Anolis sagrei: one gene and its partner. The main gene of each other region encodes a partner of the protein of the gene in region 2 in a complex. Links are inferred from orthologs where the notes say so. Each region holds a gene or a part of one and is shown on either strand. Other genes may lie near its edges.

The links. Proteins that work in one complex are often made in the same cells at the same time.
Region 1: LAMTOR5 (region 2) and LAMTOR2 share a complex: the UniProt entries of both Homo sapiens proteins name them as parts of the ragulator complex. The link is inferred for Anolis sagrei from reciprocal best matches to the Homo sapiens genes LAMTOR5 and LAMTOR2.

What each region holds. Positions count from the first base shown.
Region 1 is NC_090032.1:22,562,102-22,569,586, forward strand, and holds the start of LAMTOR2 (ragulator complex protein LAMTOR2), read left to right. Parts: upstream 1-4,447; 5' UTR 4,448-4,538; coding exon 4,539-4,606; intron 4,607-6,367; coding exon 6,368-6,530; intron 6,531-7,485. UniProt on the Homo sapiens protein: As part of the Ragulator complex it is involved in amino acid sensing and activation of mTORC1, a signaling complex promoting cell growth in response to growth factors, energy levels, and amino acids.
Region 2 is NC_090024.1:183,624,129-183,632,104, forward strand, and holds the start of LAMTOR5 (ragulator complex protein LAMTOR5), read left to right. Parts: upstream 1-4,888; 5' UTR 4,889-4,969; coding exon 4,970-5,004; intron 5,005-6,521; coding exon 6,522-6,583; intron 6,584-6,681; coding exon 6,682-6,799; intron 6,800-7,976. UniProt on the Homo sapiens protein: As part of the Ragulator complex it is involved in amino acid sensing and activation of mTORC1, a signaling complex promoting cell growth in response to growth factors, energy levels, and amino acids.

The DNA.
Region 1 (7,485 bases), on a different chromosome or scaffold from region 2:
CCATCCAAAGACAACCAATCCCAATTGGAAGTTAAACCGGAATCAAAGTGGTATAACTGTCCAGTGTGGAAAGAAGAATGAATGAATGAATGAATATATATATATATATATACACACACACACACACACACACACACACACACACATTTCTTTCCTACCCAAACAGCAGGCTTTTAATGTAATATCTTCCTTGAATTTTTGATTTAATATCTTATTAATATTATTATTATTATTATTTTGGGATCTTTCAATGGTTTCTCTTTTGCAAAACACGCATGCAAATCCTTCTCTTCAACCCAAACACACATTTAACATTAATTAACATTCATAATTAATATTAGAAATTCATGCACCGAGTTTGTTCATAGGCTTCCGAGGATCGTGCCACTAGCTTTAAAGTGGTTTCAAACTGGGTTAATTCCACCGTGTGGACGCTTAAACTGCTGAGCTGCTGAACATGCTGACCAAAATGTAGGCGGCTCGAATCCAGCGAGTGGGGTGAGCTCCCACTGTTAGCCCCAGCTTCTGCCAGCCTAGCTGTTCAATAATATTTTCACAAATCCCGATGACATCTAGACTTATTATTATTATTATTAGGCCGCCCAGTAGCGCAGCGGGTTAAACTGCTGAGCTGCTGAACTTGCTGACCAAAACGTAGGCGGCTCGAATCCAGCGAGTGGGGTGAGCTCCTGCTGTTAGCCCCAGCTTCTGCCAACCTAGCAGTTCAGAAACATGGAAATGTGACATTGATTGATTGATTGATTGATTGACTCTAAGCTGCACCAGTTGCTATGGAATTCCACGCAACGGGACTCCGGCCATGTTTTCCTTTTATGACATCACATAAAAGTCTTGATCTGTGGCAGTCGGGCCCCGATCGGGCCTTTGCCATGCAGGGCCTGCCGTGGTGTGGGCTCCTGTGGTTCTTCTGCCGGCCTGCTTGGGCCGCCCGACACATAGTGGACAAGCCGGACAACTCCGCTGCCGGGCTGAGCTGGGGGAACGTGGTCGTGATCTTCGCTGTGGTCTTCCTCTTGGCTTTGGGTGTCAAGTGGCTGCGGGACAGGATCCTCGCCGAAGGGGCCAACAAAGCAAAGGTGATTCCTGGGTGGCCTCCCTCCCTCCTCCTGGGGTATCCGCACCGGGTTTTAGTCTGAACTTTACGAGCCCTAACGATGGTGCTTGTAACCGTACTGTATGCTTTGAGAAATAAAGCCTTTCCAGACTGTCTTTGAGGTAATTTCTTCTCTGCAGATGAGGACTATCCTCATCATCTTGCCTTTCCTTGCCGCTCGAGGCAGGGTATGTCAGAGTTCAGACGTTGCCCAGCGGAAGGAAGGCTAGATCAGCAGACACTGAGTTGCAAAATCAGGACTCCGCAGGCTTTGAGTTACAAAAGAAACTAAGTTTACTAAGCACATTCCACAGACACGTCTTACTACAGCGAGCTACAATTCAGGAAGTAGTACGGTTACAAGCAAAGTTCCATCTGACAGTTGCTTTCCTTCTCAACCCATATAGAGATATATGGGTTGAGAAGGAAAGCAACTGTCAGATGGAACTTTGCTTGTAACCGTCCCCTTCACAGCCCTATTTCTCTGTGGTTCACCTGGGCCCCCAAGTCCTTCTCTACGGGTGTTGCAATCCCACCTGGGCCCCCAACTGAGTGCCCTCTTTGCCCCCGTGTCCAGGAGGGCTGTCTGTCCGGCGAAGAGACCCTGGAGTGCCGTCTCTGCCAGAGCTTCTCCCAGATGGAGCAGGAGCTGGTCAAGCAGGTGACGCTGGTGCGCAACCTCAAGGCCGACCTCTCCTCGCGCCACAGCACCTGCACGGTCCCCGGGTGCCAGCGGGGTCAGCGGAGCCGCAGCGGCAGCAGCATCGGAGCCTTTAACCTGGTGGTCTACGACGTGGCCGAGGAGAAATGAGGACACAATACCAGCATGAGAAAGCAGCCAAGTGGCGTCCGTTGCTTCTTACCCTTTACTTGGGGGAGGGTTCTAGACCAAATGTGTCAGAATAAATATTTATTTATTTATTTATTTATTTACAGTATTTATATTCCGCCTTTCTCACCCCGCAGGGGACTCAGGGCAGATCACAATGCACGTATACATGGCACATCTTCGATGCCACACAACATATATAGAGAGAGATACAGAGGCTATTTACACCTAATAGGCAGTAAGAGCACCTAAAGCTTCTGAGAGCTTCTGTTCAACCATCTCAAAGCTCCCTGCTTGGGCGGTGGTGGCACGATCGTCAGCATAGATGAAACTCTCCATCCCTTCTGGCAGTGGCTGGTCATTTGTGTAAATGTTAAACATGAGGAACTGTATTTAGAGGCAATAAGAAGACTGAGAAGTCCGAGAGCTTCTGTTCAATCATTGCAAAGCTCCCTGCTTGGGCAGTGATGGCATGATCGTCAGCGTATATTAAACTCTCTGTCCCTTCTGGCAGTGGCTGGTCATTTGTGTCAATGTTAAACATGCATGGGAGCAGGCCGTTCTTCAGTTTCTGCCATCTGCTTCTCTGGCCCTGGAACTCAACAAAAAAGCTCCTGTTTTGTAGCAGATTTCCTATGAAGTCCTTTTTTATATTCTATGTTCTTCTCTGCATTTTATATGGAATAGAAATCAGTCAATTTTCCCTGTAATAGACAGTAAGAGCACTTAAAGCTTTGGAGAGCTTCTGTTCAACCATTACAAAGCTCCCTGTTTGAGCGGTGATGGCATGATCGTCAGCGTATATCAAACTCTCTGTCCCTTCTGGCAGTGGCTGATCATTTGTGTCAATGTTAAACACGAGGAACTGTATTAAGAGGCATTAGGAAGGTTGAGAAACACTGACCTAAATCTTCGGAGAGCTTCTGTTCAACCATTACAAAGCTCCCTGCTTGAGTGGTGATGGCACGATCATCAGCATAGATGAAACTCTCTCTCCCTTCTGGCAGTGGCTGGTCATTTGTGTAGATGTTGAACATGGATGGGGCAAGCACGCTCCCCTGAGGCAGGCCGTTCTTCTGTTTCCGCCACCTGCTCCTCTGGCCATGGAACTCAACAAAAAAGCTCCTGTTCGGTAGCTGATTTCCTTGAGTGGTGATGGCACGATCGTCAGCATAGATGAATCTCTCTGTCCCTTCTGGGAGTGGCTGGTCATTTGTGTAGATGTTGAACACGAGGAACTGTATTAAGAGGCATTAGGAAGGTTGGGAAACACTGAGCTAAGGCTTCGGAGAGCTTCTGTTCAACCATCTCAAAGCTCCCTGCTTGAGCGGTGATGGCACGATCATCAGCATAGATGAAACTCTCTGTCCCTTCTGGCAGTGGCTGGTCATTTGTGTAGATGCTGAACATGGATGGAGCGACTCGCTCCCCTGAGGCAGGCCGTTCTTCTGTTTCCGCCATCTGCTTCTCTGGCCCTGGAACTCAACAAAGAAGCTCCTGTTTTGTAGCAGGTTTCCTATGAGGCGGGTGAGGTGGTCGTCCTTTGTGATACTATACATTTTTCTCAGGAGGAGGCAGCGGTGGTTCACAGTCTCATAGGCTTCTGACAGGAGGTGGTGAAAATCAGGGAGGAATAAAGCCAGGCAGTTCAGGTGCCGCTCTAGGCCCCGCTCCTCGTCTTCTCTCCATTGTCTATATGAGGGAGAGGAAAAGAGACGGGCGGGCTAGAGCGGAGCGGAAGTGTTGCCTGCCGGAAGTGTCCGTCTGGAGAGGAGACTCCATTTCCCGGCGTGCCCCGCGGGATTGTGAGGGAGGGAGGGAAGAAGACAGCCAAACCATAGAGATCTCAAAGCCCGGCCCTTCAGGTACCGCTCTAGGCCTCACCCCTCGTCTTCCCTCCATTGTGTATCTATGTAGATAAGAGAGAGAGGCGCGCGGGCTAGAGCGGAGCGGAAGTGCTGCCTACCAGAAGTGTGGGTGTGGAGGGGAGACTCTAAGGAGGGCGACAGCGGCGGCCATGCAGTTCAGGTCCTGCTCTAGGCCCCTCGCCTCGTCTACCCTCCATTGTCTATATGGGAGAGGAAAAGAGACGGGCGGGCTAGAGCGGAGCGGAAGTGCCTGCCTGCCGGAAGTGTCCTTGTGGAGAGGAGACTCCATTTCCCGGCGTGCCTCGCGGGATTGTGAGGGAGGGAGGGAGGGAAGAAGACAGCCGAACCATAGAGATCTCAAAGCCCGGCCCTTCAGGTGCCGCTCTAGGCCTCACCCCTCGTCTTCCCCCCATTTGTGTATCTATATAGATAAGAGAGAGAGGCGCGCGGGCTAGAGCGGAGCGGAAGTGCTGCCTGCCGGAAGTGTGGGTGTGGAGGGGAGACTCTAAGGAGGGCAACAGTGGCGGCCAGGCAGTTCAGGTGCCGCTCTAGGCCCCTCGCCTCGTCTACCCTCCATTGTCTATATGGGAGAGAAAAAGAGACGCGCGGGCTAGAGCGGAGCGGAAGTGCTGCCTGCCGGAAGTGTCCGTGTGGAGAGGGGACTCCAAGGCCTGGCCTTCTCCTCCTCTTCCTCCTCCGGGTTCTCCTCCTTCTCCTTCCGAGAGCGATGCTTCGCCCGAAGGCGCTCACGCAGGTCCTGAGCCAGGCCAACACCGGCGGCGTGCAGAGCACCCTGTGAGTGTCTCCCTCGATTAGCTAGGCCTCACTTCCGGCCTCTCTAGGAACGCCTCTCCCTCCATTCGCAGAGGCCTAGTCCTCACAACAAGAGTCATAATAGTCATAATAATAATAATAATAATAATAATAATAATAATAATAGAATCCTTCCCTTCTATCATCATAATAATACTAATAAGAGTGGGAGTGAAGGAGCCAGCCCCCACTTCCGGTGTGGCTTGGACTACATCTCCCAGAATCCCCTCTGCCTTGTCACCCTCCTCCTCCTCTTGGGCTTCTTGGGGGCCAAAGTTAGGATCACTTGACTGTATCTATCCACAAGGGAAACATATTATTATAATAGTATTGCTATTATATTATTTACTATTATTATATTGTATATTTGCAAGGGGAGGAGTATATTAGTATTTTATTATTACTATTACATTATTATATTATATATGTAAAAGGGAAGAATTACAGTATTATTATTATTATTATTATATTGCGGTATATATTCGCAAGGGAAGTAGTATATTATTATTATATTACTATTGCTATGACATTATTATATTGTATGTGTACAAGGGAAGTATTACATTATTATTATTATTATTATTATATTACTGTATATATTTGCAAGGAAGTAGTATATTATTATATTACTATTATATTACTATTACATTATTATTATTATATTACTGTATATATTTGCAAGGAAGTAGTATATTATTATATTACTATTATATTACTATTACATTATTATTATTATATTACTGTATATATTTGCAAGGAAGTAGTATATTATTATATTACTATTATATTACTATTACATTATTATTATTATATTACTGTATATATTTGCAAGGAAGTAGTATATTATTATATTACTATTATATTACTATTACATTATTATTATTATATTACTGTATATATTCACAAAGGAAAGATGATATTATTATATTATTATTGTTATTATATTATTTACTATTATTATATTATATATGTAAAAGGGAAGAATTACAGTATTATTATTATTATTATTATATTACGGTATATATTCGCAAGGGAAGTAGTATATTATTATTATATTACTATTACGTTATTATATTGTATGTGTACAAGGGAAATATTACATTATTATTATTAGTATTATTATATTACTGTATATATTCACAAGGGAAACATTAGTATTGTTATTATATTATATATGTACATGGGGAGAATTACATTATTATTATTATTATTATTATTACATTATGGCATATATTTGCAAGGGAAGTAGTATATTATTATTACATTACTATTGCTATTACATTATTATATTGTATGTGTACAAGGGAAATATTACATTACTGTATATATTCACAAGGGAAACATATTATTATATTAGTATTGTTATTATATTATTTACTATTATTATATTATATGTGTACAAGGGAAGAATTGCATTGGTATTATTATATTATGGTATATATTCACAAGGAAAGTAGTATATGATTATTATAATATTATATTACTATTACTATCACATTATTATATCATACAATATATGTAAAAGGGAAGTATTATATTAATTTATTTACAACATTTATGTCCCGCCCTTCTCACCCTGATTGGACTCAGAGCGGCTTACAAGTTATTTGTACATACAAGATAGTATATTATTATCATAACAAAATATAAGTAGTATATATTACTATATAGTACTATATGTTGTTATTATTATTATTGCAGTTATTATTGTGATGCTATTATTATTCTGATTATTGTTCCCAGGCTGCTGAACAACGAGGGCTCGCTGCTGGCGTACTCGGGGTACGGGGACACGGACGCGCGGGTGACGGCAGCCATTGCCAGCAACATCTGGGCCGCTTACGACAAGAACGGCCACCAGGCCTTCAACGAGGACCACCTCCGCTTCATCCTCATGGACTGCATGGTGCGCACGCCGGGGCATGACTCCTCAGAATCATAATAGCAATAATAATAATAATAATAGCAATAATAAGGGTCTCAGAAGCAGGATGATAACAATAACAATGCATTTCTCAAAAGCAGGATGATGATAATAATAAGGTTCTCAGAAACAGGATAATAATAATAATAATAATAATAATAATAATAATAATAATAATATTTTTTTATTTATCTTGTCAGGAGCAACCAGATTATTATTATTATTATTATTATTATTATTATTAATAATAATGATCTCATATGCAGGGTAATAATAATATGGTTCTCAAAAACAGTATCATAATAAAAATACTCAAAAGCAAATAATTATTATTATTTATTTCTAGTATTTGTACCCCGTCTCTGAATTTTATTTTATTATACATTATTATATTACTGTACGTATTCTCAAGGGAAGTAGTATATTATTATTATATTATTATATTACTATTACATTATCATATTATATATGTACAAGGGAAGTAGTATATTAGTATTACTATTATAGTACTGTACATATTAGCAAGGGAAGTAGTATATCATTATTATATAATTATATTACTATTACATTATTATATTATTTAGGTACAAGGGAAGTAGTATATTAGTATTTTATTATTATATTACTATTACTATTGCATTATTGTATTATGTATGTAGAAGGGAAGTATTACATTATTATTATTATATTACTGTACATATTTGCAAGGGAAGAAGTATATTATTATATTATTATATTACTATTACATTATTATATTGTATGTGTACATAAACAAGGCCGCTACCATCACAATTACAATAATATAAACACAATCAAATACAAACATCATCATAATAATATTCTTGAAGCAGGATGATAATAATAATAATAATAATAATAATAATAAGGTTCTTGAATCTGCATAAGAATAATAGTAATAATAATAAGGTTCTTGAAA
Region 2 (7,976 bases):
TGATTTCCTGGCTACAGTCTGCATCTACTCTAATTAAATAGATGCCTTTGCCACTTCACAATGGGAAATTAACAAAAGCTGCACTATACAAGACATTCAACTATGAATTCTTACTCATTTTACTAGATGAGATTCTCCTGGAAAAGCAGCCATCAGTAGCAAATTAATTACAATCTGAAAAATCAATCTTGTGATGGCCCTAAGTGTGGAGAATACAGAGTTTGAATAGCTAGATTAAGGGACAGAATTTCATCTTTTAGGTCCCAGAGGAAATTAGATTATTGATGCTGCGGGCTATCTTGGCAATCACATTTCTTCATCGCTCTTGCAAAGCAAAAACATGGTTTCTACCATATTGAGTGAGTGAGATATTACTGTTAAATGGTGTCAAGTAGATCAAAGATGGACTAAATGCAAGTTAATAAAGTTGAGTACAGATCAGACAAATGGTGGTAGCCTGAGTAAATCAATTGCATAAGAAAATTACTTTGAATGGAATGGGCACCAGAATGAAACTCAGACTCAATTTGATCATACATGATCTTGACTAATTTTGGAAGCTAAATATCAGCTCTATTTACACTAACCATTTAATGCAGTTCCAGACTGGCATTGAAGAAAGTGGTTTAACTGTGCAGATAATTACATAGGAACCCATTTGAGGACTGAAGGATGATCACACAAAACACAAAGAACGGATGCCAGAATTGGACTGGATGGCTTTGTGTTCACTTCCAACTAGGATTCTACAAGTTGCCTCCAGCTCTAGCATTTGTGATCCCTGTCCGCCTGAAATGATGATGGAAATTTCTCCCTTGTTCATAGCTCTAGATCTACAAAACGACAAATCTTTATTTTCTCCAAGTAATTAGGAGCAGTTCTCGCTTTGGCTCTGCATTGCTATGACAGATGGGGCCGTGTGCATCTCGCATCTCTATGAGTCATTGGAAGTACCAAGAGAGACATCATTCCTTTTCTCCTGACGGCCTCATTGGGGAAAGAGTGCTGATGTGCCGAAATGGACGTGGCATTTGATTTAAAGGTGCAGCATCCAGCACTCCATTCCAATCATCACATATGGCTCTAAGAGCCAGAAAGATGGGTCTGTACCAAAGTACGTGTTGGAATCTAGTTTTGGAAGTTTGTCAAATATTTTTCAAAGAAGGTGGGGGGGGGGGGCAGTATGTACAAAATAAGAAAATGAGAGTAAATGCACACAACTGATTAGATGCCCACATTCCTGACACAAGTAGAAAATATGTGTTTTTAAAAACATACAAAGATTATTATATCATAGTGATAATTATATCATAAAATCTGAAACAATCAGACAATTTAAGATATAAAGCTCCTTACTCATTTGGGGATGGAACTATGAATTTCAAAAATTATATGAATATGCTGTTCCTTTTGTACCTGCTCATAAATGAGGCAAAGGGATCCTGAATGATATAACATGTTCTAATGACTGAAACCCCATCTACATTAACTTATGATAAAGTTTCAAACTGTATTGTATGGCAGTGTAGATGGGACCACTGTTCTCAAATTACACTATGTAACAAAATTTGAGAAATTTTCTGTTCCTGGCTTGAAAGTGCTATTTCCTGTTTAATTGTGCAGTATTTACATTGAAAGTAGTTGTTATACTCCGGAAACTATGTTGAATTGGTTGAGACTTGATACAGAACCATAGAATCCTTGAACTGGAAGAGACCTCATGGGCCATCCAGTCCAACCCCCTGCCAAGAAGCAGGAAAATAGCATTCAAAGCACACCTGACAGATAGCCATCCAGCCTCTGTTTAAAAGCCTCCAAAGAAGGAGCCTCCACCACACTCTGGGGCAGAGAGTTCCACTGCTGAACAGCTCTTCAATCATTGAAAAACTACAGCAAATGTGCTGCAGGATGACCTGCCAAAACAAAGTTTTTGCAGTTTAATAAACCTTTTCCATTTTTTATGATAGAACCAATTAAGAAATGACATTTATAACCCAGGTACAAAGTGTTATCAAAGCAATTCCTAATTCAAGCTGGAACTGCACTTTTTGGAAGACGAGTTGAGTATTCCGCATTCTTTATTTATTTCATGTCAAAAGAATTGCATAACTAAGTATAAAACTGATAAAAACAGAGGGTACACAAGTGGTTAAATAATTTTTGACCAAAAACAGGCAACAGCGACCACATTGCCTGTAGCTTTAAACAATTCTTCCTCTGTGCATGTGACAGGGCATTGTGGACAAGCATACAGATGCAGAGTCGTTTGTTCTGTTCCAGTCACACAAGGTGGATTCTTCTAGGCCAGTGGTTCTCAACTTTCCTAATGCCACGACCCCTTAGTACAGTTCCTCATGTTTTGGTGACCCCCAATCATAAAATTAATTTTGTTGCCACTTCACAACTGTAATTTTGCTATTATTATGAATTATACTGTAAATATCTGATATGCAGAATATATTTCCATTCATTAGACCAAATTTAGCACAAATACCCAATACACCCAAATTTTAGTATGGGTGAGGGGAGGTTGGAAGGGATTGATTTTGTCATTTGGGAGTTGTAGTCACTGGGATTTGTAGTTCACCCACAATCAAAGAGCATTCTGAACTCCATCAATGATGGAATTGAACCAAATTTGGCACACACAAGTCCCATGACCAGCAGAAAATGCTGGGTTTGGTGGGCATTGACCTTGAGTTTTGGAGTTGTAGTTCACCTATATCCAGAGAGCACTGTGGATTCAAATAAATGATGAATCTGGACCAAATTTGACACAGATACTCAATATGCCCAAAGGTGAACACTGGTGGAGTTTGGGGAAAATAGACTTTGACATTTGGGAGTTGTAGTTGCTGTGATTTATAGTTCACCTACAAAGAGCATTCTGAACCCCACCGACGATAGAATTGGGCCAAACTTCCTACACAGAACCCCCATGTCCAATGAAAATACTGTGTTTTCTTATGGTATTTGGCGACCCTACTGACACCCCTCGCGACCCCTCAAGGGATCCCGACCCTCAGGTTGAGAAACACTGTTATACGTGGTGCCATTTTGCCAGGTTGTCTTTATATCTGCCTGCCCCATTTCTAAGACTCTTCAGAGACTTCCAAGTTGCCCATTCTTGATTTGCTCCTGGAGGAAGACCCTCGGGGGGGGGGGGGCATCCAGTTGGAATTGCCTGATTTTGAAACCCAGAGGGATACTCTTGCTGTTGCTGGGGAAATGTTAAGAAGAGTGGTGGTTCTCATGAATCCTCTCACTGATTTGAGTCTACTGGAAGGAGGTTGATAGCCATGCAGAGGATGGCTTTCAGTGTTCAACCTCACAGTTAGGAGCAACTTTCCATCGCACATCAGGGGGTGGAGGGGGGGGCAATGTCAGCTAGCTTTTAGAGTTTATCAACAGGTGTAGGTTTAAGATATCCTGTGATTATTCTGCATGTTTTATTCAGTGCTGTATTCACCTGCGTCGCGTATACAGACTTGTGCAAAACTGGGCAGGCATACTCAGCCGATTCTGCGTTCTACATGCTTGGTACCAGAAGTGCTTTGGAGGATGATAATGATTGTGGAATACCTTTAAACATAATGGAACTGAAGACTAAATGCAAATTCCATTTATGTTTCATATATGCCTTATATGCATAGCGCTCTACGTGGGGTTGCCTTTGAAGACTGTTCAGAAACTTCAAATTGTCCAGCGGGCGGCAGCCAGGTTGCTAACTGTAGCAGTGCTCAGGTAGCACACAACTCCTGTTACGCCAACTCCACTGGCTACCAATTTGCTACCGGGCACAATTCAAAGTGCTGGCTTTACCCTATAAAGCCCTAAATTGTTCCAGCCCAGCTTACCTGTCTGAATGTATCTCTCCCTATGAACCATCTAGGAACTTAAGATTGTATGGGGAGGGCCTGCTCTCAATCCTGCCTTCTTTGCCTTTGGCGGGGATGAGGGACAGGGCCTTCTCAGTGGTGGCCCCTCGGCTGTGGATCTCCCTCTCTAGGGATATTAAAACCTAGCTCTTTGAATAAGCCTGGAAGTGCAGTGCAATAGACAAGCACGGAAGTGCAGTGCAATAGACAAACACGGAAACATGGAAAGACTTAGACGATGCTACTGGAGAGTGAGATTAACAGGAAGACATTGGTTATTATATGTTTTTAAAGGTTATTGTATTGATTTTATAATGATGTTTTCAATGTTTTAATTGTATATTGTGGATTGTGATGGCATCGAATTGCTGTCAATTTGTAAGCCGCCTTGAGTCGCCTTCAGGCTTGAGAAAGGTGGAAGAGAAATATCATAAATAAATAAATAATAGCTTGAAATTAATTTCATACACTGTATTTTAAAATAATTTGGGGAACGAAACAAAGTGTGTGCCTATTGAACTCACAGCAGCCATTTCCTTTCCAACACGTTATGCACTTGACAAAGAGTTGTTACTTAAGGGGGCCTCTACACTGTTGAATTAATGCAGTTTGACACCACATTTAACTACCATGGCTATGGAATCCTGGTAGCAGTAGTTTGGTCAAACAGCAGCTCTCTTTGGCAGAGAAAGACCTTGCAAAACTACAATTCCCATAGTTTCATAGCACTGGGCATGCATGGGGTGTCGAACTGCATTAATTCCACAGTGCAGAAGCAGCCTATGTTTGTGGACCACTTTCCTTACACATATAGTAAATACAATGAGAGGGAGATCGTGACAAGAAAAGACCAAAGCTGATCCAGCTTAACAAGAAGAGGAAGAAAAATGCCTTCAATCCGCAAAATGAAGTCTACAAAAACACTCCCCACCTCCCGCTGGGCGGAAATGTTTACTGCGCAGGCGCGTCCGACTCTCGAAGAATTCCGAACCCAACGAGCCGCCGTCCACTCGCTGGCTGGTCACGTGGACACAAGTCAGCTGACAAGGAAGAGCTGGTGTTTTGCGGAAGAGGCTCAGTCGGTCGGCGAGATGGAAGGCGCACTTGAGCACCATTTGGAAGACACGTAAGCCTGGAGTTCGCAGTGCCCATCAGCACTATGGACTGGGGACGGGCATGCCATTCGAGCCCTGCTCCCAGGAAGCTTAGAGTGCATCTTCACTATAGAACTAACGCAGTTTGGGGTCATTCTAACTAACTTTGGTGAGGCACCAGCCCTCTTTGCAGAGAAGGCTAAGAGGCCATGGCAGCTAAAGTGGTGTCAAACTGCATTAATTCTAGTGTAGATCAGGCGTGGGCAAACTTGGGCCCTCCAGGTGTTTTGGACTTCAACTCCCACCATTCCTCACAGCCTCAGGCCCCGTTCTGAAGCGGCTGAGGGGGAAAAGGAAAGGGCCTGAGGCTGTTAGGAATAATGGGAGTTGAAGCCCCATGAGGAGCGGCCTAAAGAGCTGGGCATGTTTAGCCTGCAGAAGAGAAGGCTGAGAGGAGATACGATAGGCATATATAACTATGTGAGAGGAAGTCATAGGAAGGAGAGAGCAAGCTTGTTTTCTGCTGCCCTGGAGACTAGGACATGGAACAATGGATTCAAACTACAAGAAAGTTGGTCCATCTGAACATGAGGAAGAACTTCCTGACTGTGAGAAATATTCAGCAGTGGAACTCTCTGCCACAGAGTGTGGTGGGGGCTTCTTCGTTGGAGGCTTTGAAACAGAGTCTGGATGGCCATCTGTCGGAGGTGCTTTGAATGAAATATTCCTGCTTCTTGGCAGGGGGTAGGCTGGATGGCTCATGAGGTCTCTTCCAATTCTATGATTCTAAGTCCAAAACACCTGGAGGACCCATGTTTGTCCATGCCTATGCTAAAGGAGCCCACCCTCATGTCCTGCTGTATCCTCTTGTATGATTCATGCGGAGATGAGCATGCTAACCTCTTCTCCATAGAAGTGGATGGAGGAGGGACAGACTTCATAGCTATTACAGCTCAAAATCAGGGTACAGCCGACTGGCTGCTCTCTGTATCAAGAAGCCCAGACTCTCTGCACAGGATGCATGCAGACAGGGAGGGGGTTACATCAGCTTGCCATGTGGGAGCCACTCCACGCTCTGCCCCCCCCCCCCCCACCAGTTTGCACACACCACCGCCGTGGAAAATTACACAACCTGCCAATAGGGAGCCCCACACACTGCAAGGAACAATTTCGCGAGGTGCATCAACACTCTGGACTGGATGCAGCTTGACACTACGTTTCCTGCTATGGGATCTTGGGAGTTGAAGTTTGGCAGGGCTTGTAGACAACATTAAAGCATGGCAGTGGATGCGGTGTCAAAACAGTGGATGCACTCCAGCAGCAAGGAATGGGAGGAACGGTGCGAGTTGAAGTCCAAAAGTCCAAAACACCTAGAGAGACCAAGTTTGCCCGTGCCTGGTGTAGATGTAGCCCAACAATCAGGCACTATACCACACTATCACTCTCCTCTAGGGACCAATTCTTATTATATGCTTATTATTGTTGCTTTTTCGTTGTTCTGTCCCACCTGCTGGATGTTTCTGATCCCTTCTGTCTCCTCCTTTCCTAGAATGAAGAATCCCTCCATTGCAGGAGTCCTGTGCACTGATTCCCAGGGACTGAATCTGGGCTGTAAGTATTTTGGAAACTCTCTTTCAGTCCAAGTGAACTGTCCTGTATTTTTAAAACTAATTTATTTTCCTTTTCAACTATCGATCATTACCTTCTAGGTCGTGGCACTCTCTCAGATGAACATGCAGGTGTGATATCGGTTCTAGCCCAGCAGGCAGCCAAATTAACAAATGATCCCACAGATATCCCTGTAGTGTGCCTTGAGTCAGATACTGGGTAAGTGTGCTCTGTTACTTACCTACTTCACCTCATTGCATAAATTTGTTGGAACTCAGCCAAGTCCTGCACAGGTTTATAGTCCTCATCAAGTTAATAAGATAGGTAGATGAGTTAGCAGGCAGGGAAAGCTCTTCCCCCATTGCTTTGTCTTCCCCTCTCTCTCGTTTTCTCCTATTAGTTTGTTAGACTGATGCTTCTCAGGGACACACCTCTTTTTATTCAAAGTTTCTAGCCACATGCAAGCCCCCCCCCCCCCTCCAAGTCCTCCAATTTTTTTCTTCTGTCAGCATGAAGAGAGACAAGATGCATGCAGAGATAGGTAAGTTAGATAGCTAGGCCCTAACTTTACTATATAGAAATGTAGTTCTTTGAAATGTAGTTCTTTTATAACTTGACTCTCTTCCTGTATTTATGAAACTCATTTTCCCTACAGCTATGCACAAGAAGCTTCTGATCTGCTAAAAACTACTGCTGTTGCTTTACCATTGCATATGCTTTTTCATTTTTGAAATTACCCAACAAAATTACTTTCTGATGGATTGATATGTGTAACCTGGTAAACATTTGCTGCTCTTTAGCTTTCATGTCACACACAAGGAACAATTTCTGCATCTGGTCTTTGTTTCTTAGAGACATAGGACATCAGATTATTTTAGCTGAGTGCTTCCATCAGCCCCACAGAGCATGGAAATTATTATTTTTCCTTTTTTTTACATGTTAGGAGCAACTTGAGAAACTTCTGGTGTGAGAGAATTGGCTGTCTGCAAGGACATTGTCCAGGGGACGCCCTGGTGTTTTGATGTTTTACCATCCTTGTGGGAGGTTTCTCTCATCATTAATGAAGTTTAACAAAGATGTTGCTCTCCATCATATACTTACTTGAGCATGCTATGGATGTAGGTTGGTAGGGTACAATCTTTCTAAATAAAGGAACCTTATGGTTTTTAACTTTTAATATGTTTTAATGGTTTTTAACTGGGAATTTTTAATATTGTTTATATTTAATCCTGTTTTAATTTTTGCACATTGGTATATTTTAAATTGTATGCTAATGCTCTACATTGAGCAGCTTTGAGACTCCTTTAGGAGAGATAAAGCAGAGTATAAATAAAAATAGTACATAAAAACTTAGTAATTGTACTTTTGATAACAGTATAGTCTAAATCAAGCTGTT